4 linked regions of the Alligator mississippiensis genome follow. The protein of the gene in region 3 purifies or fractionates together with the protein of the main gene of each other region. This does not show direct contact. Links are inferred from orthologs where the notes say so. Each region holds a gene or a part of one and is shown on either strand. Other genes may lie near its edges. The genes, in order: KAT2B, SP1, SMAD2 and SMARCC1.

Region 1 (7,023 bases), on a different chromosome or scaffold from region 3:
TCTTCAGATTCACCTCCATATATCTAGACTATTTTTCTAGTGAAAATAGCTTACAAGAACAGAGTTCTCATGAGAGCAACTGAGTTAATGACCCTCAATGAATGGCATATCTACTCATAAAAAAAAGTATAGCAAAGGCAACGGCAATATCCACAATACCTGGCCACAGTAACAGATCTAGAGTGGCTAAACACAACTAGAGGAACAGATCTAAATCATGACTAGGTTAGAGACTCACATTAGAAACTAACTGAATCAGAGGAGCATAAGCTTCCCTGAGCCCAAACTCAATTACTAGGCATAACCTCAAAGCACTGAGCCTCAAGAGGATGCCATGTGCAGTGGTGGTGTTTTGTGATGCTACCCACTTGCTCTCCACTGGGAATCAAACTAAGAATATTCTATGTTCAAATTGTGCCTGCTGGCTAGGAAGGACTTTAAAAAAATTAAAGGAAAGTTTCTGTCTCTGTGCCTATGTTAGGAGCCACTGCTTAGAATCATAGAGAATTAGAGTTGGAACAGACATCAGGAGGCCATCTAGTCCAACCCCCTGCTCAAAGCAGGACCATCCCCAGCTAGATCATCCCAGCCACAGCTTTGTCTAGTCAAGTCTTAAAAACCTCCATGGATAGAGATTGCACCACCTCTCTGGGTAACCTGTTTCAGTGCTTCACCACCTTGCTAGTGAGAAATTTTTTCCTAATATCCAATGTAAACTTCCCTTGCTGCAACTTGAGACTGTTGCTCCTTGTTCTGTCATCAGCTACCATTGATAACAATCTAGCTCAGGGGTCAGCAATGTTTTTGGACAAAGTGCCAAAAATATTGGCATCCTCAGCTTGTAAGATGTTGGCATGCCAGAGGAAGATGGCAGGGGAGCCATGAGGGGCCTGATCCGCCGGCACAGCCCTGACTCCTTCCCTGCCATTTGTCCTGAGATGCACACACCAAGCAAAATGCACTCTGGCACCCGTGCTGGGGGTTGCTTACCCCCGATCTAGCTCCATCCTCTCTGAAACCTCCCTTCAGGGAATTGAAGACTGCTATTAAATCCCCCCTCCATCTTCTCTTCTTCAGACTAAATACAGGCAGTCCTAGACTTACAACATTTCAAGTTACAAGGTTTTGCACTTACAAGGTTTATAAATTGACACCCTGTTTCAACTTTCTGGCCTCAGTTTAGACTTTACAATGCTTGATCCAACATGATGCCACGCCAGTGAACAAGTTCGCTACGTTGCCCATCTCCCTGGAGAGCATCTGTCCAAACTTCCTTGGACACTTTCTTTAAAAAAGCAGACAAAACTCCACAAAAACCTGTAGAGAAGACTCCAGCCAAGAACCCTTCAAAAAGCCCAACCAAGAGCCCTTCAAAAAGTTGAGCAAAGTTGCCGCAAAGAAGTCCTTCCAAACCAGTATGATTGCTATTTACCATATAAATACATGAATGTAGCTATATTACTCATCTATAATTGAGTACAAAATTCTGGGTTATTTTTGGTGAAAATTGGGTATCCAGCCTTGGTTCAGAAACCAATCCCCCATTTATAACATTGTTGCCTATGGGAAAAATTGGTACAGACTTACAACATTTGGACTTAAGATGAGGGTTTCAGGAAGCAATTGCGTCATAAGTCCAGGGTCTGCCTGTAAGCCCAGTTCCGTCTGCCTCTCTTCCTAAATCATGCTCCCCGCCCTGCTAACCATTTTCCTTTGCCCTCCCGAATTTATCCACAACCTCTCTGTAGCGGAGGGCCCCAAACCGGCTGCAGACGTGGCTTCACCAGTGTCAACCAGAGGAGGACAATCACTTCCCTCCATCCACTGACCCCGCTCCTATTCATACAGCTTTCTTTTTTTTTTTTTAAGAAATTTTTTGTGTTCCAACCCAAATCAGCCAAATCCATGAGTCAGTCCAGAAACATAAGTGGCCCTAGAACCAGCAAACATCCTCCACCCCCAACCACGACCTTCAGATATTTCCATCGTTTTTTGGCAGGCATCCTGTGTGCAGGCCCAAACCAGGAGGCTTGGGGTTCAGAAGCCCCCAAGTTTCACCTACCCTCAGGCATAGGAGCAAGCTAGGGTGGAGCCTCCCATTTCCATAAAATGGGCATTAAGCCCCAGCACCTCGGTGGGTACTAAGCAGCGCTGGAAGAACAGTTATCCCCAGGAAGGCTTAAGGAAAACTGCCTTCGTGAACCAAGACATGTGGTGTTTTCCCTGCCTCGGCAATCAATGAGAACACCTACAGGATATAAAACACTGCGATCGTCCAGCAATGCCACTAGCCTTCTTCTTCACGGGGGTACACGGCTGCCGCCTAGGCAGCTCCTCGCCCACCTTCCCCGGGAGCTGGGCGAGCTCCTGCCCCAGCTCAGGTCCCCCCGGCCGGGAGCGCCGCCCCGTCAGCTGTCCGCCTGTCACAACAAAGGCGCTGCTGCCCGGAAAGGCAGAGCAGGGCCCAGCGGGGGCGCCGCTGCACAGCTCGCAGCCCGGCTCTCCCCTCCCCCGTCCCCGCAGGAACGGGCAGAGACGTGCAGTGCAGTGCGGGGCGGGGCGGAGCTCCCCCGCCACCGCCGCCTCACCCCGCGGCCCGGCCCGGCCCGGCCCGGCCTCCCGGGGCGAGTGCCCCACAAGCGGCGGCGGCGGCGGCGGGGTGGGGGGTACCTTGCAGGCGGAGTAGACGCCCAGCTTCTCCAGCTTCTTGGCGCGGGGCGCGGAGCGCAGCTGCGCCTTCTTGCCGGCGATGCGGGCCGAGCCGGCGCCCCCGCCGCCCCCGGGGCTCTCGGCGGCGGCAGCAGCCCGGGCCGCGCCGCCCGCGGGCAGTCCCCCGGCGGCGGGGGAGCCCTGCTGCGGGCCCGCGCCCGCCGCCGGCCCGGCCCCGCCAGCCTCGGCCATGCCGCCGCCTCGGGCGGGCGGGCGCGGCGCGCCCAGCGCTTGGACCCTCCCCTTCTTCCCAGCGCCGCCGCCGCCGGCTGCTCCCCGGGAGGGAGGAGGGAGGGGACTGGCCGCACCTCGGCGGCACCTCCCGAGCCGGGAGCAGGCGGCGGCCGGGGACAGGGCGCCCCGGTGCCAGGGGGAGGGACTGACGAGGCCTGTGTCCCGGCCCCTCGCCGCAGCCCAGCCCCGCGCGGCCCGGCCCGGCTCCCGCACCTGGTGCCGCCCGCCACCGCCACCCCCCCAAGTCCCCTCGTGCGTGACGGCGCCGCGCTCCCCCTCCGTCTGCGGGCAGCCCCGCGCCTCCTTCCTGAGGGGAGACTTCACACCCCTCGGGGGAAAGGCAGCAAAATGGCTTAGGAGGTGTGTGTGTGTGTGTGTGCGTGCGTGCCCCCCACACGGCCAACCAGTCTGTGTAATCCGGAGGAGAGGAGACGGGGGATTTCATAGCAGCCTTCGGTTCCCTGGCGGGGGTTACGGAGAGGCCGGAGTTGGCCTGTTCTCGGGGAGGGGGCAGAAGATGGAACAAGGAGCAATAATTTCAAGTTGCGGCAAGGGACGTTTAGGCAGGGTCTTGGCATAGGCAACTTCTGTGGGGGGACACGTGCAGCCCCTGAGCTTGGCCGCTGCTAGTTTCTGCGGGGGGCGGGGGTTGCTGCTCACCACCCTGCCACCAACGCTGCTGCCCACACATTGTGCCCCCCCAGTCTCGGGAGGCACCAATCATTCATGGGTTTTGGCAAACACTTTCTCAGAGGAGTGTGGGTGACTGGTGGCACCTTGGGGGGGCATGTGACCCACCAGCAACCAGTCAGTAACTGGGGCAGTCCCCCACAGCCAATCTCACTGACCGGGGGGGGCCCCATAGGTGCTCGCACGGACCGGGAAGCAGCGGCAACACTCCCAGAAGTGGCTGTGGCCCTTCATCCAGCACTCCTGTTCCCAGGCCAATACTCACAGCCCTCCTGCCTGCCCCCTCACCCCCATCGCCTAAGCAGGGAGCACAGCCTGTCAGGGGGTGCACCAGCGCTCTCCCCCATGCACCCCCTATACGTCACCAGTGCAGAGGAGGGTAGTAAGACACTGGAACAGGTGACCCCAGAGAGGTGGTGGAAGCTCCATCCTTAGAGGTTTTTAAGACCTGGGTACACAGAGCCTTGGCTGGGGCACATTTACATGTGCAATTAACTCCAGCACACATCCTGCCAGAGTTTATTGCTCCTGGGCCCAGGACAGCAGCATATTGAGCTGGGTGGGAGCAGCCCCAGTTGGCAGGGAGCTGTGGGGGTGGTCAGCTTGCCAGCCAGAAGCTGCTTCAGCCCAGCTCAACCTGCTCTCAAGGGACTGGCTGAGGCACAAGGGTGCTGCACGGTTAGTTTATTCCTGCCTAGTAGCACTGCACATGTAGACACTGAGACATTTACTGTGGAGCTAACTAGGCAGCTCCGCAGTAAAGTCTCGTGTAGACACACTCGGTGGTTTCTACTTCTGAATTAATATTACCACACCTGAGATAAGTGCTGAAGCTAGCGCTGAATACAGTTCTGCTGGGCTATGAAACAGAAGAGAGACATTACCAGGAATGGCTAAAAGAAAGCAAAATTGCAGAAGAAAGGATAGTTTGAATCGTGAAATATGACAATTATTGAAGAGGATAGCTTGTTATATTAACACCTGTGGAGTGGGTAGAATTCAGCAGGACTCAGGGAGATGATAATAAGCCATGAAGTCCCCTCCCTGCTGCCCAGGTAATTGGTTTTAAAGTTTGGGAGCAGCAGGAATCAAAGTGGGGGTCTAACTGCACTACTGCAACCCCCTGGATCTGCCCCTGTCAACAAGCATGGTAAATTCAGGACATTCAGAAATAAGGGTAACTTGAAAAGGAATTTGGGCATGGCAACATACAATTAAAGCACTTGAGCACCTTAACTTTACCATCTGACATTATCAAGCAACAGCTATATAATTACTATTAGCATAAGATTATAGTCCTGGGTTATAAAACTGCTCTTAAACACACATCAGTTTTGTTTTCCCCTCATGGCCTCACTCTAGGGCATAGTCAAGAATGCTTGAGGGCAGAGTCAAGGTTGCTTAGTTGCCCTAACTCTGCATTTTCATACTGGATAGCATTTGGATTTTTTTTTTTTTTCTGAATACTGATTTTTCAGAGGAAAGAGGATTTAAAATGCTGCTAAGGCAAGAAATACTAGTGAGTTTTAATCATGTGGCAAGTCTGAAGAGTATGTATTGAGATCATTCCTGACAACAAACAAGTGTGACTCCAGGTGCTACATTTTTAAAAGGACACATTTGAAAATTAATTGTAACTCAAAGTAATTAATACATGTTCTGAGAATTTAAAAGTAAATCTATTTTTGGCCCAAATAGCAAATGCTTTAATATTGGGGAGAATGGGCTGAATTCTTTGTACATAACTAAGTGATTGTCTCCCATTGTTAAGCGCAAAACAATCCTAAGAAGAATCACAGGATCATAGGAAATTAGGGCTGGAAGAGACATCATGAGGTCATAGTGGCCAGTTCCAAAGTCCCCAGGTCAGCAGTGGCTCTCAAAGCCTGGTGAGTCCCAGTAAACAGATGGGGAGGTAGGAGGCATTAAGCTTTGGGGGTCACAGCTGAATCATGAGACTTCAGGGACTGGGATCCTTGGACTGAAAAGAAACCTGGAATCTGTGAGAGTCCTAGTTCAAGCCAGGGGTCTCAGAAATGCCAGTCTCCCTGCTGCAGAGCCAGCAGCCAAAGCCAGCACCCAGCATTGTCCTTGTTCCTACCACTATTAACAAAGAAAGCCCAGTCTTCCTGAGAGAGCTGCCCCATAGCTGTGGGCCTCCTGGGTGAGCTGGCAGGAAAGCAAAGTTCCTGTGTTTTGTCAGAAGTTTATTGAAACATTCACTTTCATATAAACATTTCAGCTTTTCCAATCAGCACTTTTCAACACACATCTGTGTCACTGAAAAATTCCTGGCCAGTGTTAGCAGTTGGAGTTGATACAGTATTTTCAGGCAAAAATGTTACATTCAAGCTGACAGTGACCCTTTAAGATGGCTGCTAACGTCCCATATTTTTTAAGATAGGCTGTTAAGGTGGACTGGTCATTCAAACCCAAGCCTCGCAGAACTTTAAAAGAGAGCAATGGTGAGAGGTATAGTGCCAACAGAGATAGTCTGCACAAACTTTAAGGGCATTTTAAATTTAAAAAATGACTCCCTTTGAACACAACTTAAATCAGAGGAATTTTTATTTCTTTAAATAAGAACATGCAATAATTGATGAAGAGTAAAGTTTTTAAAACAATGATTACCTTACCTACTCTGTCTACTCTACATGTGAGATTGTGAATAAAAAAATGCAATGGCATGGTTATTGTTTTTGCTATTTACTTTTATTTTCCTTTCAATCAGTTAAAATATATTAATCTATTTCACTTTCATTTTCCCTGCCTGTGGAAGTAGTCTTGCTGACTTCAATAGGCCCTGTGATGCACAAAAGTTAAGCCCATGTGCAAATACTTGTAGGATCAAGGCCTAAGCACATACCTTCTTCTGGAGCTTTTTCTAAGTCCTATTTGTCTAGAGGAGTTTTATTTCTATTAAAAATAAAACCAAGTATGTAAAGCATGAGGCAGACACTGCCTTTTATTAAAATACCCATACCCTTTAAGCATTGTTTATATTTTATATGCGGCCTTGTTCATGTTAATTTTGTTAAGGGGAAATGAGTTCTGTTTTGAAATCTAAGTACATATATTAAGACAATAGTTATTACAAATTGAAAGAGCACTTTTACTGCACTTCCTTCTTATATCCTCAAGAGCATGATTGTCTTTCAGCACCCATATCTTTTTACCGTATTGCTTAATAGATAATGAGAACAATAAATCACCACCAGTGGCTAGGGATACCGTTTCTATAGTAACTTTTGTAAACACCAGTTTCATTATATATGCAGAACTAAAGCTTAGTATTACTGAGGAATAGCTCCAGAAGCTGTGCTAGGTAAGCTGTAATTTTTTTTCATTATAGAACAGAACAAGTGTAGTAGTATAGCCATTATCTTCATT
Region 2 (7,975 bases), on a different chromosome or scaffold from region 3:
GCTTGCTGCCTTTCTGGGTGCCCTGCTGGTGCTGCTGGTGGCCAGAGTGGGTATGCACGTGTCCTTGCAGCTCCACTGTGGTGGCTGCCGTGTCACTTGTTTCCTATGGCTGCTCCTGCCCGAGGGGTGCTTGCAGGGAATGAGCCATGCAGTCTCAGCCCAGTGCTGGGGGTCTGGGAGCAGCTCAGCAGAGGGGCCGAGGACCTGGTGCATCCTACAGACTGATCAGGGAAGGGACACAGGGGCTACATTGGGTCACACGGGCGCGATCAGAGGCAGGAGCTTGCTGCCTCTGTGCTGGGGAGTCTGCAGGGCTGCCGACAGGCACTGCATACAAGTATGGCAGGGGCATCAAATGGACATGCACAAGTGCCCATGGAGGCCTATGAAGAAGGGTGGATTGCAAATGGACAGCCTGGGGGCAAGATACAGCCTGTGGAGCCCTGGCATCCAGCCCCCAGTGCTGCAGGTCTGAGTGACCCACACAGGGCCACAGGCAAGATCCAGGTCACGTGCCATACATGGCGCCCGCCCCGGCAGCTCTGGGACTACTGCCTGCTCCAGCCAGTCTGGGACCCCCATGAGCAGCATAGGTCCCAGGCAGGTGGGGGCAGGTGCTGGATCCGGTATGCTAGGCGAGGGGGTGGGGAGGAGAGCTATGGGCCTGATCCAACCCCATGCCACTCCTCCAACCCCCTGTGGCACCTCCGGCATAGGGCAGAGGGAGCCTGTCCCGGTGGAAGCACTGGCAGGCGGCAGCCAGCAGGGGATAGGACTCCTGGATTGTATTCCCAGCTCTGGGATGGGGGGTGCCATCTCATTTATGGGGTGGGGACACTGAATACTCGAACTCCCGGGTTTTGTTCCCAGTTCTACCATGGGAGGGTCTAATATTTATTGGTGGCGTGGGGGAAGCAGACATCAGGACTCCTGGGTTCTCTTCCTGGCTCTGTCCCTGCCTTGTTTAAAGCAACCTTTGCCCCCTCCTCACTCCTCTCCTCGGGATCTGGCTTGTTGCCTCTGGCTCTGATTCTCTCTAGCAGAGCATTGGGGGGTGGGGGGGGCTGGAGCAGGGGCAGGGAGGGAGCCTGTGGGGGGGCCTAGAAGGGAGGAAGGGTTAGCTGAGGGCGAGGGCTCCACACCCATAGGCTGCAGAAGCAGATAAGGCTGCAGGAAGGCTGGGGCTCCCCCCCTCCCTGCCTGGCTTGGCTGGCCAGGGCCCAGCAGCTGCCAGCAGCCAGCTCACCCCAGCCAGGGCCCTCTTTGAACAGCTCCTGGCTCATTCACAGGCTGCAGGGCTCTGCCATCGACCAGCAGCAGGGCAGGCTGCAGATCAGCTTGGAGGGAGGGTGGGCTAGTGGTTAGTGCCTGGGATTCAGGACTCCCGGGTTCACCTCTCAGCGCTGGGAAGGGCCGCTGGATCAGTGGCGGGGGTCGCGGGCATAGACATGACCCCCTGGCACCCACCCTCCTGCACAGACATGGACCAGTCAGTGATGGGGACAGGGTGGCCTGGATCCTACTGTGGGGGGAGACTGAGAGTGAGGACTCCTGTGTTTTCTCAGCTCCAGGGGAGGCGAGGTAGGGAGCTGCTGACCCTCTCTGTGCCTCAGTTTCCCTTCTGTTGCAGAGGAGGAGGAGGAGGGCCCTGCTGAGGTCAACCCAGAGTAGCAAAGCCCGGTGAATGGCACCAGTGCTGGCTCCTGCCTATCAAAGAGCCCAGCTGGCCCATCCTCCAGCCCAGCCCAGCCCAGGGGCCGGCCCAGGAAGGAGGGGATGGACTGGCTCCACATGGCTTTGTTGTCTGCCTTTGTGGCAACCCATTGCGCTGGGATTTAAAGGGACAGGCTGGATTTTCTAAGCCTGGGGAGGCAGGTGGCTCCCTCCCAGGGGTGGGGGAGGGAACCTGCCAGTCTCTGCCCCTGCGCTGCATTTGCTAATGGGGATGATGCTGCAGATCAGCTATAAAAATAGAACCCCCTCCCCGCCAGGCTTGACAGCCACAGTGCTGTGCAGAAGGGGTCAGCGGCATTGCCCCCCTTCTCAGACAGGTAAACTGAGGCAAGGACTTGTCCGAGATCACCTGGGAATAGGATCCAGGCCACCCTGTCCCCATCACTGACTGGTCCATATCTGTGTAGGAGGGTGGGTGTTGGTCATGTCTATGGCACAGACCTTTGCAGGCAGAGCTGGTCAGTCAGGGAGGGCACGAGGCATGATCAGGAGGGCAAAAGAGGAGTGAGGTGCCACGTCAGTGATGGGCCAGGACTTCCCCCTCCTCACTGTTAGCTATGGTGCCTGCAGCAGGCAAGACCCAGGTGACTTTCCCGTTCCACAGATGGGGGAAACTGAGGCGCAGACGTGCCATGAGCTCCCCAAGCCATGCCACGAGGCTGGGAAGAGGCTGCTGCCTCGTGACTTCCCCTCCTACCCGGTTGACTGCTGCCCTCCTTTTCTCGGCACTAATTATCTATCATGCTAATAACAGAGGATGTTATGGAAGGCAGTCAGGCCGCCCAGGACACAGCTGGTTTGAAGGATGTTATCCAGAACGATGCTGGATTTGCTGTCCAGCTAGTCAGCCTCATGGTGGTCGGCTCCAAAAGTCAAGGACTTTGGAGGAGTTCCAGAGTAGGACTTCCAGATGCTCCAGCTGTGTCCCTGGTGCCGCGGGCCATCAGTGTTGGCTGGGGGTGGTTTGGGGCTGGGGATGCTGTCAACACCCTGAGCTCTTATTTGGAAAGCAGTGGCAGTCAGGCAGGCAGCATCTCTTTGCGGCGGTGGGAAAGAGCGTGGTTGAAATGTTTCTTCCCTTCCCCAAAGCAGAATCCGTGCCGCACCCACCAGCCCAGGGTGGAGAGCGGCTCAGATGCCAGATTTGAACCAACACTCCCTCTGAAATGCGGAGGCTCTGGAGGGGGAGGCACGTGCTGTGCTGCTGAACTCAAGACATGCGAGAGGGACTTTTTAGGAGGAGACGTGGGAGGGCGAGAGTCTGGGGCAGGCTACGCAAGCGCATCCAGTACACACGCAGGGGGCTAAACAAGCTGACCTGCGAGCTCCCATCCAGGCCTGACTCCGCTCTTGAACAAGCCTTGTGTCCTCCTGTTAAGCATGGGAGGAGCTTCCTGGAAAAGCCAGGATGGCTCCCCCATCCTTCTCCTAATCCCTCCCTCTGCCCAGGTGCTCCCAAACCTGGAGCAGAAGGCAGCTGGCAGGCTGAAACTGCAGTTCCCGTAACTCCCCCTTCGGCCCAGCTGCTCCTGGCAGCCACCTGATGTCTCTGATCTCACATGTTGATTGCAGACTTTTCCGGGCAAAGAGCATGTGGTTTTGCTTTGGGTCTGTGCAAGTATCTAGCCCTAGAGGGGCCTTCTCCTCCACGGGGGAGGGGGCTCTTTGATACGGCAGCCCTCTCAATAACAACACTCTTGGAGCGTTTTGCTCGGAGGGAATCCTGCTTGACAAACCCACGGCGGTTGTTTTCACAATGAAAGCTCTCCAAACCTGCCAGCCAGGACGCAGTGGGGAACGAGGAGAAAAAAATGAAGCGGGTCTGTCGGAGGCAAAGGGCGGTTGTGTTGGGTGACGGCACAATTTTCCAGCTGCTGCGAGAGAAAAGAAAGGGCAACTGGGCGTTGCTCGTAAGGACGCCCGGGACCGAGGGGGATAGATCCGAGTGCAGTTCTGACCCCTGCCCTTTCGATCTCCAGCAGTCTCCAAAATCAACAGCATGGGGCGGCGGGGGGGTGGGGGGTGGATTTTACTTTCCATCCCCGCCAGGATCGTTCTGCTCCCGGCTCCGCCGCAACGAGACGTGTCGGGTCCTCACAAAACCCCGGCTCCGAACGCCTCCAAAAGTCCAGCCCCGCATGTGTTTTGCACCCACCCATTGCAATAATCATCAGGGTGCCGCACGCCAGCGGTGCGGGCTGACCCGTTCCTAGGGCCAGACGCTGGCGTGAGCGAACCGAAAGGGGCCCCGAAAATGGTCGTTTAAACATTATGATGATCTCTAGCGATAGTTTAGATTTAGATTTATTTTCCAAGGCTTCAGCTATCCGGCAGGAGGCCTCGTCCAGGGTCTCCGCAGGTTTCAGGGAGCAGGGCCTGGCCCGAGGGAGGCCACGTGGCGACAGGCCCCGCTGGGCGACACGTGGTGGCAGGGCGGTGCGCGCGTGCGGTGCTTGGGCGCACGAGGGGGTCGCAGGCACCTCCTCAAGGGCGTGGGCGGGGACTGAGCTAAAATGGCGCCGCTCCGCCACATTCCCCACCGCCTCTCCTCCCAGCGTGTAATCCACCGCCTAGGCCTCCCGCCTCCTCGCGCGTCCCATTGGCCGGTTTGAGGGGGCTCGCCTCTCCCATTGGTCGGGGATCCGCAGCCTCACCAGTCGCCTGGCTTCTGATTGGTCGTTGTGCACGCCGAGCTCCAATCCGACCTGCCTTACGTCAACGGGCGTGGGCCTGCTTGACAACTGATTGGGGAGGCTGGACGTCGATCTGATTTTCGTCCCGCCCCTCCTCGCGAGGCGCTGTCTTAGGAGCCCGCCTAAACTGCGATTCGTCGTTCTGCCTGTCAATCACTGCCTCCTTCCACGCTTCCCCCAGCCTCGCCCTTACGGGGTCTCCCTGGGAGCCCTCGTGCCTGCCGATTGGCCGCCCATCACGTCACTCACCCTTGGGCCTCACCCCCTCATCCCACCCCCGCCGGGGGAGCTGCGCGGGCTTCCTATTGGCCGCCGCCTCCGTCACTCCCTCCTTCCCCCCTCCCTCATTGGGCGGAGCCGTTCAAAGGGGCGTATCTCAGGGCCGGGGATTCGGGCGGGCTTCTCCCCCTCCCTCCTAGGCTCCGCCCGCTTCCTCATTCGAGGGCCGGCTTGCCACTCGCCGCGCGTCCCGCCCCCGCTACCGCTCCGCGGCTCCTGATTGGGCACGGCCGGGCTGCGGGGCGTGGCCCGGGGCCGGGGCCGCGTCGCGCCGCTCCCTCCCTCGCCAGCCCTTTGGCGGTCACCGGCGGGGTTAGGCTGCCTCGTCACCGCGCCGGCCTCCGCCCCTCCCCCGGCAGCGACTTGGACTCGCCCCCCCGCGGCCACCATGAGCGGTACGGACCGGACCACCCCGGCCCGGGGGAGGGGGCCCAGCCCTGCCCCGCCCCGCCCCGCCCCGGCCCGGCCCGGCCGCCCGCGCCGAGGGGAGGGCCCCGGGGGAGGGGGCTGCGGGCGGGGGAGGGCCCGGGGGAGGGGCCGGCGGGCGGCCTCGTGGAGCGGGGCGCTGCGGGGAGGCCCGGGACCCCCGGCAGGGGGGGAAATATGGGGGAAGGCCCGGGATCCTTGCGGGGGGGCGGGAAACGTCATGGGGAAAGTCCCGGGGATCCCTGAGGGGAGGGGGCTGCGGTCCTTGATGCGGGGGAGGGCAAATATTACGGGGGAAGGGACTGGAGGCTCTGACAGAGGGGTGGGGGGGCTGAGGAGGGGGCCAGATGTCGTAGGGGAAGGGTCTGGGGTCTCTGTAACGGGGCTGGGGGCTCTGACAGCGGGGTGGGCGCGGGCTGAGGGTCATGAGGAGGGGTGCAAATATGGGGGAAGACCCTGGGATCCCTGAGGGGAGGGGAGGGGGCTGCGGTTCCTGATGGGGGGGCAAATATCATGGGGGAAGGGGCTGGGGGCTCTGACAGGGGGGTGGGGGGCGCTGAGGAGGGGCCAAATATCATGGGGGAAGGGGCTGGGGTCCTTGTAAGGGGGCTGGGGCTGAGGGTCATGAGGAGGACGGATATGGGGGGGGCTGAGGGCTCTGACAGGGCGGTGAGGGGGGAGCTGAGGGCCATGATTTGGGGGGGGGTGCAAGTGTCATGAGGAAGGCTTGGGATCCCTGAAGGGAGAGGATGGGGGAGCAGATGTCATGGGGGTATCCCTGAGGGGGGGGGCCATGAGAGAGAAGGCAAATATGGGGGAAGGGCCTGGGATCCCTGTAATGGGGGGGGTGCTGGGGGCTCTGAGGTGGGGGGAGGCAAAGGCCCTAGGATCCCTGGGTTGGGGGAGGGCAGCTCTAAGGGCTCTTCTCTCCCACTTGCCCTGGGAGCTGGGGGGAGGCAGGGAGGGGTTGACCCCCACCCAGATCTGAGGGCAGGGCCGAGGGAGGTGCCAGGGAAGAGGGGGAGGAGGGTGAAGTCTCCTGGGCAAGGTCCCAAGGGAACAGGCTGGAATTGCTGCTGGGCAAAGGGATTTCCTGTGGGGTGGGAGTGAAGGAGGCCTGAGGCGGGTGGTGGAGTAGGGCTGGGTGGGGAGGCAGGGACTGACAGGAGGGTTGGGGAGTGGAGCTCGGTCCTCCCTCTGGCCTCTGTGCCACCCTCCAGCCTCAGCTCCCTTTTCCCACAGTCTCTCCATTGTCCCAGCGCCCCCCCCCCCTTTATCTTCCCATTTCCCTTCTTGTGGCCCTGAAGTACCCAAAAATGGAAGGAGTTGGCCCTTGGCAGGTCCTACCGTGTTGTCCACCCACTCTGCGTTCCCACCCTTCCCTCTTGCTGCTCTTCCTTCTCCTTTATGTCTGCTTTCCCCTCCTTGGACTTGTTGATGGGTCAGCCAGCAGGTGCTGGGCGATGTGCTGTGCTCAGTGTCCCCCCTTGAAGCAGTCATTCATTAACCTTTGATCTGCACTCCCACCCACCCTGTTTTCACTTGTCCCCCAGAATCTGTTGGAGCACACATAGTGACCCTTTCTAATAATGGGGGTGGGGAGTATACAAGTTTCTTTGTGGGTTCGCCCCCACATTCCCAATATGTACCAAAGATACATCTCCTTTCCCCCACTGTGTCACTCTGTTCAGCCTCTCTCATCATTCTCTTTTTGGTGAACATTTTCTTGCTTTGCTTATCACTTGACCTCCTTTCTCCCCCCTGCTCTGCAGACCAAGAGAGCCCCGAAGAAGTGGCTGTGGTGAAGTCTGAGAAAATAGAAGGAGGTGGTGACAGCAGCAGCAACAGCATCAGTGAAGGCAATGGGGAGGGTCAGGTGAGCAGCGCATGGGTATGTGTTGGGGAGTGGACAGCTGTCCAAATGGGGCTAGCTCCATGTTTTGCTCTTGTTTAGGGGCCCTGTTGAAGTACTAATATGCCCTGTGAACCCACAGAAATGTTTGATTTGAGTCCTGGGACTTCTTATGGTAGCATCATGACCAGTACCTCTCTGACGGCCAAGCTTAGGAATCTCATTGAGAGAGAGGAGGTTTAAGTTTGGGGCTGCCGGTTGCTTCCTTGACCTCCCTTCTCTAACACACACTAGAGCTACTGTGTGTAAGCCTGTATGTACAGTCTTAAATAAATCCCTGAACAAGCTCTCCACTGCACACACTTCTCACCCCAGGGAGAGGAAAGAAGAATATAAATGCCCAACAGACATTGCCTAAAGCAGTTCTGGACAGCATTCTGGTGCCTCCAGTATGAACACAGCCTACAAAGAGCAGTGGCTGCCTCGCCAGGGTCATATCCGGCACCCTTGGTCTTCCAGAAATACTTAGCACAGCTGCTGCTTTAAACACATCTTTATAATCGAGGACGCACTCAGATGGGTGTCTAGAAGCAGCAGCACTTCCTCTTAGGACATATCAGTTCATAGAGGGGAAACCCCCTTGCTTTGGGCTGAGCTGCAGAGATAGTTTTAAAGCCACACTTTATTTTCAGAAACCCCTAAGCCCTGTCAGGCCCATGTCTGCTTGGGGTGCTTTCCGGCTGTGGGTGGGTGTTTGTTACTGAGGAGTGTTTATCTTGTGGGCGGCAGCTCCTCCCTGTTTGCTCTCATGCGCACTGCCCACTAGGCGAGTTCTGGCGAATTAACTCCTCCTTTCTCTGCTTGTCAGGAATCCCAGCCTTCTCCCTTGGCTCTGCTGGCAGCCACATGCAGTAGGATTGAGTCTCCCAATGAGAACTCAAACAGCTCCCAGAGCCAGCAAGGCGGCTCGGGCGAGCTGGACCTCACAGCC
Region 3 (6,946 bases):
TTTGCTCTACTCAGCAGTTAATTTGCTACTTGCAAATGCAAATAGCAGATTAACTGATGAGTAATTTCTGCAGAGTAAGGCACATGTAGATGGTTGACCAGGAGCAAATTTGCTCCCAGGCAGCAGGAGGCAGGAGATTGCTCCCTGCCTCTGGGAGCTGCTGGCTGCCAGGGCAGACTCTACTAGTGGAGCCCAGGTGGGGTGCCTAGAAGCAGGGACCTCCTGGCCTTAGAGTAAATTACTCTGGAGTACACCCATCTAGCAGCATATGCATGTGTAGACAAACCCAGGGAACAGCAGATTCTCTTCACATTGGAGCTTGGCCCAGCACAAAGACTGAAGAGCTCCTGGGCCCATGAAGCTTGCATTAGTAGATTTTCCTGCATTTGTGTAGAGTTTGTTTTCCCTACCTGTCCATGTCTGATCCCTGTTGCACTTGCTGAACTCTACAGTCCAGGTATCTCTGCTTAGCTGTGCCTTTCTTCTTTGTGGTGGTTTCAAAGCTTTATGGTTCATTTCTTCCAGCAAATACATATGTCAGCCCAGGAACAAGATCCCCACACTGTTGCTCTGTATGTGTGTGTGGCAGATTGGCCAAGTCCATTTGCACTACAGGTAATTTAAGGGGGCCCCACACAACAGATCCACATTTTCAGGACCTGAGGAAAGACTAAACCAGCCTCTGGCCTCAGCTGTCCAACCCTTGTGCAGCCCCTCATCCTTATTCCTGCAGATGCTGGGCAGGACACAGCAGGTACTGGCTAGCTGCCTCTAGCCTGATGCCAACCGAGTACAGCAGGTGCCACCTGGCCTTCTGCTGCCTGAGGGCATGCTGAGCTGTTGTTCTCAGGAGCAGGTTAGGCAGTCACTGCATTTCAGTGACGCTGTTGATCTCTGTGCTGCCAGAAATTCTAGCAAATCTCCTTTTCTTCATCAGTGTAAGTGAGGGGCTATTGAAAAGTCTAGTGTTGTTCACTGTTGCCATGATGTTCTGCTTCAACATGGATAAATCTCCAGTGATGGTTGACCAGGCTGTTAAGCATGACCCATTGCATCCTACAGATAAACTCTTAAGGCCTGGTGGGGAAGCAAAAAATAGGAATATGTTTTCTGTCAATCACTTCTGTGCAAGATCATGGGTTCAAAGCTGTTGATAATCTGAGATTAGCACACCTCAAACATGCAGGAAGAGTGTTTTTGGGGGCCTTTTGTGGCAGTGCACTTATACACAGCAGCACCAATAGCAGATCTGCCCCCACCAAATTGGTTCTTCATGGATCAGCACCAGTTGACAGGGGTTCATAGCTTCCAGACAGTGCTTGCCACATATTTCTCCGTAGACCTCAGGGAGAATGGCCTCTGCAGTTCTGGAGTCGGCTCTGCATATAATTGCAGCACAGCGGTCTTCTGCATCCTGAAGTTCTCCCACCACTGCTGGTGGTCCTGTGCCTGCAGCACAGTCCCAATCTCAGTTTGCTTCCCACATCAAGAACTGGAGGTCCGCAGACTGGCAATGACTTGAGACCAAGCAAAAGCTCTTGGCACCTAGATAGCCTCATCTTTGGGTGGAACAGCCTGCACAGGTCAGTTAAGTGTCATGCGATGGGATGGTCCATCTCAGCCCTTGGGTGCTGTGCCTGCCATGGCAAAATTTGCTCACTATACAGATGAAGGCTTGAAGTGAAGCGCGCACACAGCCATGGGAAGCTAGAAGTGGCCTTGTAATCCAGTGAATGGATATAGCACGTTAAGTTGATGAGGTCAGAATGCATCCAGGCTACGCTCTTCAGTTTGAAAATGGCACTGTTCCTTTTAAAAAGAGGATGCCAGGTCAATCTGGGGATTTTTTTTGTAGTCGAATCATGGACAATAAACCTGGAGACTTTCAGGCATGCTCCTCCCAAAGTCCCACTATGCTGCAAAGGGATACTTCATCCATTCCTCACTTGATGTAGCTTGGAGCACGCTCAGGTTTTCACGCATGTGCTCTCATTTGTAGCAAACTGAACACAACGGTGTCATTATACACAACTGTCATGGAGCTGATTTGCTCATGGTTTATGCCTTGAGGCTGGCCTTTCAAGAGCTGAGGCTTTCGAAGGACTTGAGAGAGCTGTAGGGGTGAACTGGAGAATGAAGCCTGGACAGCGTGCGATGTTGGCTCGCTCTGCTTTTTTAGGCTTTACTGCTGAACATAGGGTAGAAAGCTGGGCGTGAAGCCTGCCCAGCTCAGCAGGGATTAGAAATGCTTCCCATCTAATGGATCTAATGCATTTTAACAGGATCTGAAGGGGGCGGGACAGGGACGTGGCTCTCCAGAGGATCCAGTTATGCTTACTATGACTTTTATTGAAGCGGGGTTGGGGGACGGGGGCAACCTCGTGCTCCCTGCCTATATCAGGCCCTAGGAAGACTGGGCGAGAACAGCTGGGAGGGCTGCGGAGGCTTTCCCACAGCTCTGTAGGGGTGTTTATACCGGGCCCTGATGGCAGGCAGGGGCTGATCCAGAGGGGCCCCAGATGTTAACTGCCCTACATCCGTCTCCCCGCAAGGGAAGAGATGGCTTTGCCCCCCCTCTTAACTTTTTCCTAGCCAAAGGCAGCTCCATTTAACCCCTGATTGGCCAAGGGGGAGAGGTAGCTTCACCTCCACGTAACCCTTTATTAAGGAGACCGCTTTGCCCCGACTCCAGGGCAGGTCCAGGGGGTGCAGTGCTACAGTCACATCCCGCTCTTGATTCCTGTTCCACCCAAAGCTTAAAACCAACTGCCTGGCAATGGCTGCAGCTTGTCTATGGCTTCAAAGTTTATTATATTCCGAGTCCTTCTCAACTCTTCCTTTCGCAGGCGTTACAGACCCCCTCTCCCGTGGTCTTCACCTTCTGCTAATCGAGCCAACCTTTCTTCTGCAATTCTGCTGCCTGCTCCCGGTAACGGCGCTCCTGTTTCACAGCCCGGCAGGCTGGTTTGAACTCCATTAAAAAACACCGAGTTGCCGATCAATAGCAGCGGTATGAAGCGTTTACACTCTGGATTTTATGCGGTGGTTTGGACAGGGATGATCCTGCCTTGGGCAGCCGCTTGGCTTCGATGACCGCGAGACCTCTCTTGCAGCCCCACTTCACCCCTCATTGGTGGAGGTGAGGGGGCTTCACCCCCACTCAACCCCTCATTGGCTGAGGAGAGGGGACTTCACCCTCACTTAACCCCTCATTGGTGGAGGAGAGGGGGATTTGCCCCCACTTAACCCCTCATTGGCTGAGGGCAGGGGCCCACTTAACCCCTCATTGGCCAAGGGGGAGGGGGCTTTACCTCCACTTAACCCCTCATTGGCCAAGGGGGAGGGGGCTTTACCTCCACTTAACCCCTCATTGGCTGAGGACAGGGGCCCAACTTAACGCCTCATTGGCCAAGGGGGAGGGGGAGCCCCCTATTGGCCAAAGGGGAGGGAGCTTCGCCTCCACTTAACCCCTCCTTGGCGGAGGGGGGGCGCTGCTTTGTCCCCGTCACGGCGCGGCGCGGAGCGGCGCGGAGGGATACGTGCCGGCGGCAGCGGAGGGATCGCGGCCCCCGGCCCCGGTGCGGCTGCGTGCCTGCGCGACAACCAAACTACCAGCAAACTCTCCCCTCCCCCACCCCGCGTCCCGGCCGGCGCAACCACCCCCACCCAACGGGCGCGCGGGGAGAGACACCCGCGCCCGCCAATCAGCGTACGCCGCTCCCCGCCCTCGCGCCTGCCCCCACCGGGAGGAGGTTGGGAAGCGGCCTCTCATCCCTCGCGCCCATTGGCCACCGGGTCCGCCAATCCCCCTGCTCGGGGGAGGCCCCGCCTAGCGCCCCTCGGCCAATCGCGGCTCGCGCTGTTTCGCAACGGACCGGCGGCGCAGCCAATCGGCCGCCCGGCTCCGGGCGCCACGGGTCCTGTGGCGGCCAATGGCGGCCGAGGGGGCGGGTGCCAGGAGGAAGCCAGCGACCGAGCGAGCTGGAGGGAGGGAGGCGGGAGCGGCGCCGCTGGCGGAGGCGCAGGTCGGTGTCGGGCGGCGGCGGCCGGGGTGGGGCGGCGGACCGGACTGGGCCGCGCGGTGGGGGGCGTCTGCGGGCCTCGCTCCGACCCCCCCGCTCCTCCCTGCTGAGGGGCGCGGCCCCGCCCCCTCCCCCCGCGGGGCCGCGTCACTCGCGCGTGCGAGCGCCCGCCTGCCCCCCCCCCCCCCCGGGTCCCAGCGCCGACCCCTCTCGGGGGGAGGGGCTGCACCGCCCCCCCGCAGTGGGGGGGGGGGTGCTCTGTATGAATCACACATATATATAAAATGTGTGTGTGTATATATACACACATGTACACACACACACACACACACATATATATATATATATATATATATACACACACACACCACCCCTCCCCCCCGCTGTGTCAGGCGTGGGGGGATGCGCTGGCACGCGAGAGGCCGAGGTGAGGCGAGATGCGGTGGGTTTCCTCGGACCAGCTGGGGAGCGAGAGAGAGAGTTGGGGGCTCGTGGCGGTCCAGGAGCGAAGCTGAGCCGGGCGCTGTCCTCGTCCTGGGTGTCCGGGATGGAGGCGCGGGTGCCAACCATCCCTGTGGGGCGGGAGGGTGGAGCAGGGGCTGTGTCACATTGGGGACCTGCCTGCCAAGGAGGACGGGGTTGGCTGTTGCGTGTCCCGAACGTGGAACCGGGGCTCGTTTTGGAGCAGCCGGCTTTCCTGGCGGGCCGGCCGTGGTGTGGTCCCTTGACCGTGGTGCGGTCAAGGGTGGGAAACTTAATGAACGGTGGCTCGGCAGTAGTGTGCTCTGGGTTTGCTGCTCGATGTCGTGCCCCCACTGACTTTGCGGCTGAGGGAGTCGGTGAGGAGCTGATCGGGGACGGCTGCGGCCTGTCGGGGTCGTTTAAAAAGGAGAGTGAAGAACTGGCCGACTTCTGTTGTGAGATGACCAGAGTAAGGTGTCCTGTGGGTTCTTGCTTCTCCTCGCAGGGAGAGGAGAGGAGCAGAAGCTTGGTGATTTTCATAATTGGCTGGCTGATGGTTTAACTTTTGCTTCCCCTGGGGTGTGGATTGCCTTCTTAGAGTTGAGGGTGGCAAGTTAGTGTGTGATGTTTCTTTAATCCTCTCTGAGACTGACACCGCATCTATTGCAAGCAAGAGGCTTGGAGGCAAACTTTTGCTTCATCTGTTGTTCACCTCCTGCCTCAAAACCTCCCTTAGAAACGCCTGACCCAACCTGACAGGGAGGATGAGAGTCCTCACAAGTATCTTAAAGATGGTTTTATTTGGTGTTCCCAAAGCTCAAGTAGGAATGAGTCAAAACTGATATCTGGCAGTGTGTTAGAAGGTGTAGCTTATACCATTGTCACTAACTGGATTTCCTTTCTGAGTGTCCATACAGAGCAGTACCCATCACAAGGAATAACAGCTGAATTTCTGAACAGCGATTTCTTGAAAGAAACACCCCCATGTGTGGGTACTTTCTATGGTGCACTGAAACTGAAGTAGGAGTAGTAATCTCTACTGAGGTTTTTGATCGTAATCTGACATTTAAACTCTGGCATTTATAAATTGGGGTTGTTGTTTTTTTTTAAACATTTAAATCAGTCTCCTCTCCCAAGTTCTGACTTCATGAACAAATTAAGTAATTGTGGATTACACACTAAATCTCCAGACCAAGGTCTTCCTAGTTCTTCCTTCTTTCTCTTCAATTTGATTTTTGATTTATTTTTTCTTTTTGCCCAAAAGAGCTGACTACAAGTCATTCCCACTGAACTTAATAATGCTGCAGATGCTCACTTACTGAACGCAGCTTAAAAACACAACTTCTGTGCATTTCTCTTATCCCTTCCTGGCAAGTGTCCTAGAGGGCAACAAGCTCGAGCTCCCTGAAAGGGCAAAGAGGATTCCCAAGTTCTGTCTGCAGAGCTCAGCACCTGCTGAAGTTTGAGATTAAAAATATTTTCCATCTTTTTTAGATGTATTTTAACACTCTTAATGGGCTGCACATGTAAGCACTGTAATTGAAAGCATCCATTTATGGGCCTGACTTGCTAAGTGAGCTGTAAATTCTGCTTTTCAAATTGGATTTAATGACTTTTATCATAAAGCCGCAAACTGCTTGTGAACTGTGCTGAGAGGCAAACAATACCTAAGCTTACTTTGCCAAAATATTTGTAATTGTTGATTTGTTAAACTGCATTGCTGCAGGTCATGGGATGGGATTAGTTTTTGTAGTAGAACAGAGTGTACAGGCAGTCCTGCGTTCAGTACTATCTGGGCTAGAAGAAATGAGTGAGTGCAGGCAGTCTTTCTGAACTCTGTTTTCGACTTCCAGCAGGCTTTGTGAAGCGTCCCTGGAGACTGCTCTATAAAGGCTAAGATTACACTTCTTCTGGTATGTTTTGTTATGGGTAAGGTACTCTGAAGTAATGAGGGGATATGGAGGGAAGTGGCTTCTTAATTTTCAAGCAGCTGAGACTGGAACTATTAGTTTAGATCAGACAAGGAAACATCTCCCAGATGATTAAAGACTCAGTTGCTTCAGGACCTTTTATGTTAGTACAGAAACCTTGATTTGTACAATTCTGTTGCTTTATCTTGTTGGAAGGGTTTTTGGTTGACCCATATGAAGAATCAGTCAGTCATCTGTTTGTATTGGGCCTTCTTGAAGTGGGACTTAACCCTGTGTGCTAGTTGTGAAATCCACAGCCCTCTTGCTTAATGTAGAGCGCTTGGAGTGAAGAAAAAGCTGACAAGTGATGTGGATCAAACAGAAGTTGGTATCTGTTAAATATTTTTTTTTTTCTGTAGCAAACTTGCACAGGAACATGATACGTTTAAGTAATCAGACTTCCACCTAAATGGAGTGCACACAATTTTTTCCATACATGAGGGGCAGTTATAGGAAACTGTCATGCCTTGAAATATTAACAAACCGCTTTCG
Region 4 (6,867 bases), on a different chromosome or scaffold from region 3:
CATCATAAGTGACTAGAGGCACTTTAACAGAAAAAAATTAGTTATGTAAACAAAACTGCAACAATTTACTCAAATAGAGCCCTGAGGATATGACCACAAAATAAAGGAGAATCTAATTACTCCATATTTAATCTCATTTGAATGCCAGTTTCTAAGTAACATGGTATTTTATCACACATCTTTTCCAAAAAAAAGGCATGTTGGATACAGCATCTCAGTACAGATCGCATAAAGATTTAGAACCTCAACTAGAATGGGCAGACAGCAATAGGACTAGACCTCCGACACACACAGACAGCCCCCCATACACGTGAAACAGAGTCATGCTCCCTTGCAATTAAAAATGGAGGATTCTTTACTAGTCTCAAATGCACGGCAGAAATCTAAGACACATCAAAAAGATGTTTACACGCAGATCATGAATAAAACAGGGTTGTTTTTGCTCCTAACATTTTGTTCGTAATTTGGTATCTCCACAGGCCACACTTGGCAAGCAGACGTGAGCTATTCCATTGAGAAGCCTACGGTATCTTTGTTGTGTCCCCTGAAGATAGTGAAACATTCTGCCACTAACAGTAAGACTAAGGTTGAAGTGTTAGACTAACTTGTTGTAAATAACTACCTTTAGTAACTTTTTTTGTCAAGTTTATTTAAGGAAGGAAACTTTTCCACCTAAAATGAGGAAACAAGAATTTTGAAGTCAATGCATACATTCATTCCTTTTCTGGCGAAAAGAGATGCAGATTTTTAGGACTTCTCCCAAATCCTACATTATTATCCTTTCCACTATATAGGGCTTTCAAAATTCACTTGCCCAAACCAAGATCTTCTCCAAATAAATCCTATTAAGACATAGGAGGAAAGAAAAACATGAAGCATGTTCATTATCAATCTTCCCAGCGGGAACAGAGTATAACCAAGCACTGCTGCCTTCAGCCTGCAGAACAATGGATGGAGGGCCTCCCCTGCGAGGAGAATGAGAACCGAGGAGCGCTGCTGGTTTCCACAGCTGCAATCCAGCATCCTGTGGGTGGCAGTGAATTAGCAAGAGCTGCATTAGTCAGTGAAGCTTGGGAAAAGCTTGACAGCAAGGGGGCAGGCACAAATGCTCTTAATTGGGAAAGAAAAAAAAAACTCATCCCTTTAAAGGCATTAGCTTGAGGGGCTGGGGTGGCTAGGAGGGAAAACACACCTCTCCTCCTACTCCAGATGATGCTCCTCTCAAGCGTACCTGAGCCTCCAGGTGGTAATTAGTGAGACATCAGGCAGAAGACAAGATAGAGATGTACCTAGAGACTAACTCACCAAGTGTCAAGAAATATTTCGAAACTCCACGTGCAACTTGAGGCAAGGGATGATGGAAAACCTGATGGGACATGTAGTTAACGCATGGAATTCATTGCCACAGCAGGTGGTAGAAGCGGACAACACAGCCAGGTTCAAAAAAGGGACTAGGCAAACTCATGGAAGACAGATCTATTAATAGTTGCTGAACCGAAGGGTTGACGATATTTCCCCCAGCATCTCCAACCCGATAACAGTGGATCCAGGGAGGGTAGTGAATAGGGGATACGTCACTCTAGAGATATCTGGTTCAACGCTTTCCCTCTGGCATCCATTTCTCCCATTGTTGGAGACAGGCCTCTCTGATGTGCCAGGGGGGATTGCAGCCCACAGCCCACCAAGGAAACTATATTATAACAACGGAGACCACTAAAGACATCAGAGGGTTTCTTCGGACAAATCGTAAGGAAACAGGAAAGGCAGCGAAGTTGCAGGTTAATCACAAGAGAGGCAGAAAGGGACACCAAGCAGAGCACACCACTGCCCCTGAATGAGCCTGCGGACTTTGACCAGCGAAACTGCCCAGAGACGTGAGCGGAGGAGTAAAAGGAAGACAGCCCCACGCTCACCCAGGCTCCCCTGGCCACAGCCTCCTCCCTGTCTAGCACATGGCGGGACCCAGATCAACCAAAAACTCCCAGGACTTGGTGAGGGACACAAGGAAGGAGCACATAAAAGAAAAGATGTGGGAAGAACAGCAACCAGAGGCTGTGAAACTCCCTGCCACCAGCTGTGGCGGAAACTGACCGCTTAGCCAGATACAGAAAGGGACTGGACACGTTCTCGGAGGAAAGGGACACCCGTCGCTATTGAGCGGCGGAGCGAGGGGCACGGCCTCCGAATCGAACATCCTACGCCTGTAAGTGCTGGAGGCCGCGAGCGGGAGAGCAACAGCGGAAACAACCCCCGGTCACTCTCCCTGCCCGCATCCGCTCCGCCGTGGCGCGACACCGGCCTTCGATATCCCAGTCTGGAACGTGGGCCAAAGTCCACCACGTCCAGCTATGAGCCCTGCCTGGCGAGGGGGCCCCCCGAGGGCACGTCGCCGATTGCTTGGCACAACTAAGAGACAAAAGTCAGGGGAAACACTGAGCAGAGCAAGTCACACGGCATCCACTCGCCCTCGGACACGTCCCCGCGGCACGCGCGGGCCGGGGGCAAGCCCGGCCCCATCGCCGCTGCACGACTCGAGGGGTCCAAGGGACAGGGCACCGCGGGACCTCACCCAGGAAGGAGGCTGCGTTTTCCTGTCCCTCGTGTGCTCGCATCTCTGGGCCGTTTCACCACCGGCTCCTCGGCCTCGCTCCCACCCCCGTCTTCCTCGCTATTGTCACCCTAATCCCGCGACGAGCACGCAGCGACCCCCCACATCACGGGAGGGCTTGCAGCTGTCCTCAGGCCGACCCCGCGCGCCCCTCAGCCCGCACCTTCTTGTAGTGCTTGCCGAGCCAGACGCGCGCCGAGTCCAGCTGCGACACGGTGTCGGGGCTCTCCCAGAACTTGCCCGTGGGGCCGCCGTCCTTGCGCCGCGCCACGGCCAGGGCCGCCCAGCCCGGCGCCGCTGCCGCCGCCCCGGCGCCCGCCGCCACCGCCGCCATTGCTGCCCCGGCCGAGCGCCGCCCGCGCGGGCCTGCGCCGCCCACTCGCCTCACGCCGCGCATGCGTGGAGCCGCGCACGCCACGCCCCGCCCCTCTGGGCATGCTCGGCCACCCGCGCCCGCTGCCGCCGCCGCAGCCGCCGCGCCGGTGCCTGCCTGCGTCACCGCCGCGCAGGCGCACGGCGCCCGACGCTTCTGCGCATGCCTGGCGGCAGAGCCGACCCGCTTTTTTTTTTTTTTTCCCTTGACGGGTTTATTTTACTATTTTTTTATTATTATTATTATTATTATTGGCTCTGCGCATGGGGAGTGTAGGCGCGAAGTCTAGTCGCGGAAGTGGGGGGTGCTGAGCATATGGGCGCGAAGCATAGTTGCGCATGCGTGGGAACGGGTAGGGGGAGCGTGTAAGTGGGCATGCGTGGAGTCCTGGGTAGTGTTGACTATGTGGGCGCGAAGCTTAGCTATAGCTACGCATGCGTGGAAACTGGGGTGAGGGGAGAGTAGGTGCGCATGCGTGGATAGCTGAGTAGGCGCGAAGCTTAGCTATAGCTGCGCATGCGTGGATGCCGGGTAGGGGATCATGTGGGCGAGCGTGCGTGGAAGCGGGGTGGTTGAATGGGCCCGAAGGCTAGTTATAGCTGTGCGTGCGTCGATGAGGGAGGGGAAGTGTGGGCGCCTGGGTGGCTTGAGTATGTGGGCGCAAAGCTTAGCCATAGCTGCGCATGCGTTGAAGCCCGGTAGCTAGGACATGCGTAGCAGCCTTAGTAAGTTGAGAGTGTCGGCGCGAAGCCTTGTCACAACTGCGCATGCGTGGAAGCCGGGTAGTGGGACCATGTGGGCGCGAGGCTCAGTCATAGCTGCGTATGCGTGGAAAGCGGCGTAGGGGAGCATATGGGTGCGCATGCGTGAATTCCTGGGTAGGCTGAATAAGCGCGGTTAGCCATAGCTGCGCATGCGCAGAAGCCGGGTTAGGGTTGCATGTCGGTGCGCGTGCGTGGAAGCCGCGGTAGGGGAGCACGTGGGTGAACTCATAGTTGCGCATGCGTGGGAGCCAGGGTTGGGGAACACGTGTGTTTGCTGTGATGCGGGTTAGGGGCGGCTCTTGCCCATTTTATTGGGGCAGGGCCTGCTCCGTGGGGGTCTAGGCTGGGGAGAAGGCATCGGCACATATGCAAAGCACCTATTTTTTGCAGTTAAAAAGAAACTAGAAGCTTTCCTGATAGGCGGGGAGGGGCTGGGTGAACCAGTATGGGATTGAAGCAAAACCAGCTCTCGCTTCATTGCACTGAGTTGTAGCCAGTCAGTCAGTCTGCAGGGCTGTGAAATGGGAGCGTCCCACCAGGAGGCAGAGCAGAGAGTAGCTTGCCTGGCGGCAGGTGAAGACCATTACAAGGAAGGGAGGGTCATTAACACCTGTGGAAAGAGGAGTTTAGAAGGGATCAGGTAGATCACAACGAGTCACAGTCAACTGACTCCTTCGGCACTGCCTGACTGGCCATACTGCTGTCACGCTGCCAGGCAGCTGGTTTTCAACTTTGGGAGGAGCAGGACTCCGAGCGGGGTGCAAGTGCACCAGTGCACCCACCCCTGGATCCACCCCTGGCCTGCTCCAGCTGCCGCCCCTCCAAGCACGAGTCAGCCAGGGCTGGATGCGAACGGAGGTGCCTGGGCTGTGCTGGCTACGGGGTCGGCGGGCAGCGTGGTCTCGCGTGTGCATCTGCTGTGATGGGCAGGGGGATCCAAAAGCCACAGTCTCTTCAAGCATCCCCTGCATTTGGCCCCAAGGGCACCTGAGTCATGAGCTCGGTGTCACGAGGATGAGGATACTGCAGGCAACGTTCAGCCTAGCAATTCACCACCAGGGTGCTATGGGGGTGCAACAGGATCCTTTCAGGGGTATACACAGCATAAGATACTGCTGAGGTGTGCAAATGTGGTTCACAAGAGAATCCCAGAGATTGCAAACAGAAACCCATGGTTGTGGTCTTGCTGAGTTCTTTGCAACAGAAGAATTGCTCTATTACTCTTCAGTAGCCAAATAAAAGGCATCATCTCTGAACCAAGAGCTCTAGATTTTTGCATTTCTTTGTCCCAGATCAACACGACTACCAAATACATCCCTAAAAGTCAGAGCTGGCACTTTCCAAGCAGTTCCCTGAGTCTACCCAGAGGATTTCCAGTCTAAGAAAGTTGAGGAGCACTGGTGCAGTCCCTCCCAGCTGCCCCAGGACCCCCCTCTCTGAGCAAAATACCCCTAAGGGCCGTTTCCAGCCACCTCCAAACTTCCTGCTCTTTGCTCGGTCACCCCAGCTCCCAGCCTTCATCCTGCCCTTGGCCGGCCACCCTGCAGAATGAAGACACCTGGTTGCATCTTTGTCTCTGGACCGGATCCCTGCTGGGAATCTCTCTCCCATCCTTCCATGTTTAAGCTGCCAGCCGTTTCATAGTAGGATTGGACCAGTTCCTGGAGGAAAGGCCCATCAGCAGGTGTTGTGGTCTGAGCCAGTTCTTAAGATCAAGGTTACTCCCTCCTCTGTCTCGGAGCTCTCCAAGGCGAGTGCTACATGAATTTGGATTCCACCCAGAGGCTCTTGCCTGTGGGTTTACAGTTTGTCTTCTCCTCAGTTTTTGCACATGAAATACAAAAAATACATCAAAAGCTTGCCGTCACAGCTAAGGTCAGGAGATGACAGAATTAAACAATGGAGCTTTAACGCTGTGTCCCTGCAAGGCTGTATGATGACACGCTGTTCTTTTCACGGTGCACAGCCCGGACGGTGCTTGCTGCATGTGCAGCTCTGCCATATTTTGTTCTCTCCTTGTTGCTTGGGGCGTGAGCCCCATGCCTTAGTTACACACCATAGTGAGCACTCCAGAGAAAGAAGCTGATCTGCTCTTGGGCTTTCATTGGAGGGCAAGTACAGGCAAAGGTCCATGGTTTGAATTCTCCCAACACTTCTGCAAGGGGAGGGAACAGCATCATCCCCTCTGTCTTGTTGAGGAGCTGAGGTGCAGACCTGAAGATCAAAACTTTCAACCTCTCTTGGATGCCTAAGCAGACACACCCAGGACCTGAGATTTTAGAGTGATCAGCCCCTTCCAGGGGTGTTCAGCTTCCAGCCCATTGGCCAGATCTTGCCTGCAAGGCCATGTCATCGAGCCCAAGAGTCTTCCCACAGATCCAGAGATTTGGTGATGGGGGAGCAGTCCCCCGCTGCCAAATTTCCAGACCCGTGGCATGGGGAGTCCTGCATCCAGGTGACATGGCTCTACAAGCTAGATAGTGCTAGTACATGGAGCCACACACGTACATGTAGTTCTCAGCTGCATCTGGGGGGTCAGGCCACACAGCGCTAATAAATGACACGGGTATTTGCTAACAGCAAAAGGATTGTGAAACTGAATCCAGACAAGACACGGGATGCTGGTGAGCAGGCCATGTGACCTAGGGGTACTGGGGTACCTGCCATGGATGGGGTTCAGCCTCCCCTTGTCACTCAAGTTTGCAGCCTTGAGGTGCTCCCGGATCTTGTGCTGCACCTGGATCTTCAGGTGGTGGGGGTCACTAGGAACAGCTGCAGCCCTTTCTTTCAGAGTCTGATCTGGCCACCACCATCCAGGCCTTTGCAGCTCAAGGCTAGACCACCACAATGTGCTCTACGCAGGGCTGCCCTTGAGAAGGGTCATCAGAAGCACATAACTCCAGTGCTCCAGGGTCTGCACTAGCTCCCAGGAGCTTTTTGCACGCAATTCAAGGGAAGTGTTGGAATTCACTTATAATGCCCTAAACATCCTGAGACCTATACCCCTAAGGTAGCACCTTCTCTATGCCTCACTGCAGTCCCAAAGGTCAAGAGCAACCTCCTGCGTGTACCAGCCATGCACCAAGTCCCTTGGGCAAAAACACATTGCTCTCAGCAGTTGC

The links.
Region 1: the proteins of SMAD2 (region 3) and KAT2B purify together in Homo sapiens (affinity purification with western blotting, with the first as the bait; 3 studies listed by BioGRID). This does not show direct contact. The link is inferred for Alligator mississippiensis from reciprocal best matches to the Homo sapiens genes SMAD2 and KAT2B.
Region 2: the proteins of SMAD2 (region 3) and SP1 purify together in Homo sapiens (affinity purification with western blotting; 3 studies listed by BioGRID). This does not show direct contact. The link is inferred for Alligator mississippiensis from reciprocal best matches to the Homo sapiens genes SMAD2 and SP1.
Region 4: the proteins of SMAD2 (region 3) and SMARCC1 purify together in Homo sapiens (affinity purification with mass spectrometry; 3 studies listed by BioGRID, with this or other methods). This does not show direct contact. The link is inferred for Alligator mississippiensis from reciprocal best matches to the Homo sapiens genes SMAD2 and SMARCC1.

The regions. Positions count from the first base shown.
Region 1 is NC_081828.1:150,497,916-150,504,938, forward strand, and holds the start of KAT2B (histone acetyltransferase KAT2B), read right to left. Parts: upstream 3,005-7,023; 5' UTR 2,902-3,004; coding exon 2,671-2,901; intron 1-2,670. UniProt on the Homo sapiens protein: Functions as a histone acetyltransferase (HAT) to promote transcriptional activation. Has significant histone acetyltransferase activity with core histones (H3 and H4), and also with nucleosome core particles.
Region 2 is NC_081838.1:8,792,629-8,800,603, reverse strand, and holds the start of SP1 (transcription factor Sp1), read left to right. Parts: upstream 1-4,958; 5' UTR 4,959-5,094; coding exon 5,095-5,101; intron 5,102-6,904; coding exon 6,905-7,008; intron 7,009-7,852; coding exon 7,853-7,975. UniProt on the Homo sapiens protein: Transcription factor that can activate or repress transcription in response to physiological and pathological stimuli.
Region 3 is NC_081826.1:290,363,605-290,370,550, forward strand, and holds the start of SMAD2 (mothers against decapentaplegic homolog 2), read left to right. Parts: upstream 1-3,935; 5' UTR 3,936-4,025; intron 4,026-6,946. UniProt on the Homo sapiens protein: Receptor-regulated SMAD (R-SMAD) that is an intracellular signal transducer and transcriptional modulator activated by TGF-beta (transforming growth factor) and activin type 1 receptor kinases.
Region 4 is NC_081828.1:217,674,076-217,680,942, forward strand, and holds the start of SMARCC1 (SWI/SNF complex subunit SMARCC1), read right to left. Parts: upstream 3,021-6,867; 5' UTR 3,006-3,020; coding exon 2,772-3,005; intron 1-2,771. UniProt on the Homo sapiens protein: Involved in transcriptional activation and repression of select genes by chromatin remodeling (alteration of DNA-nucleosome topology).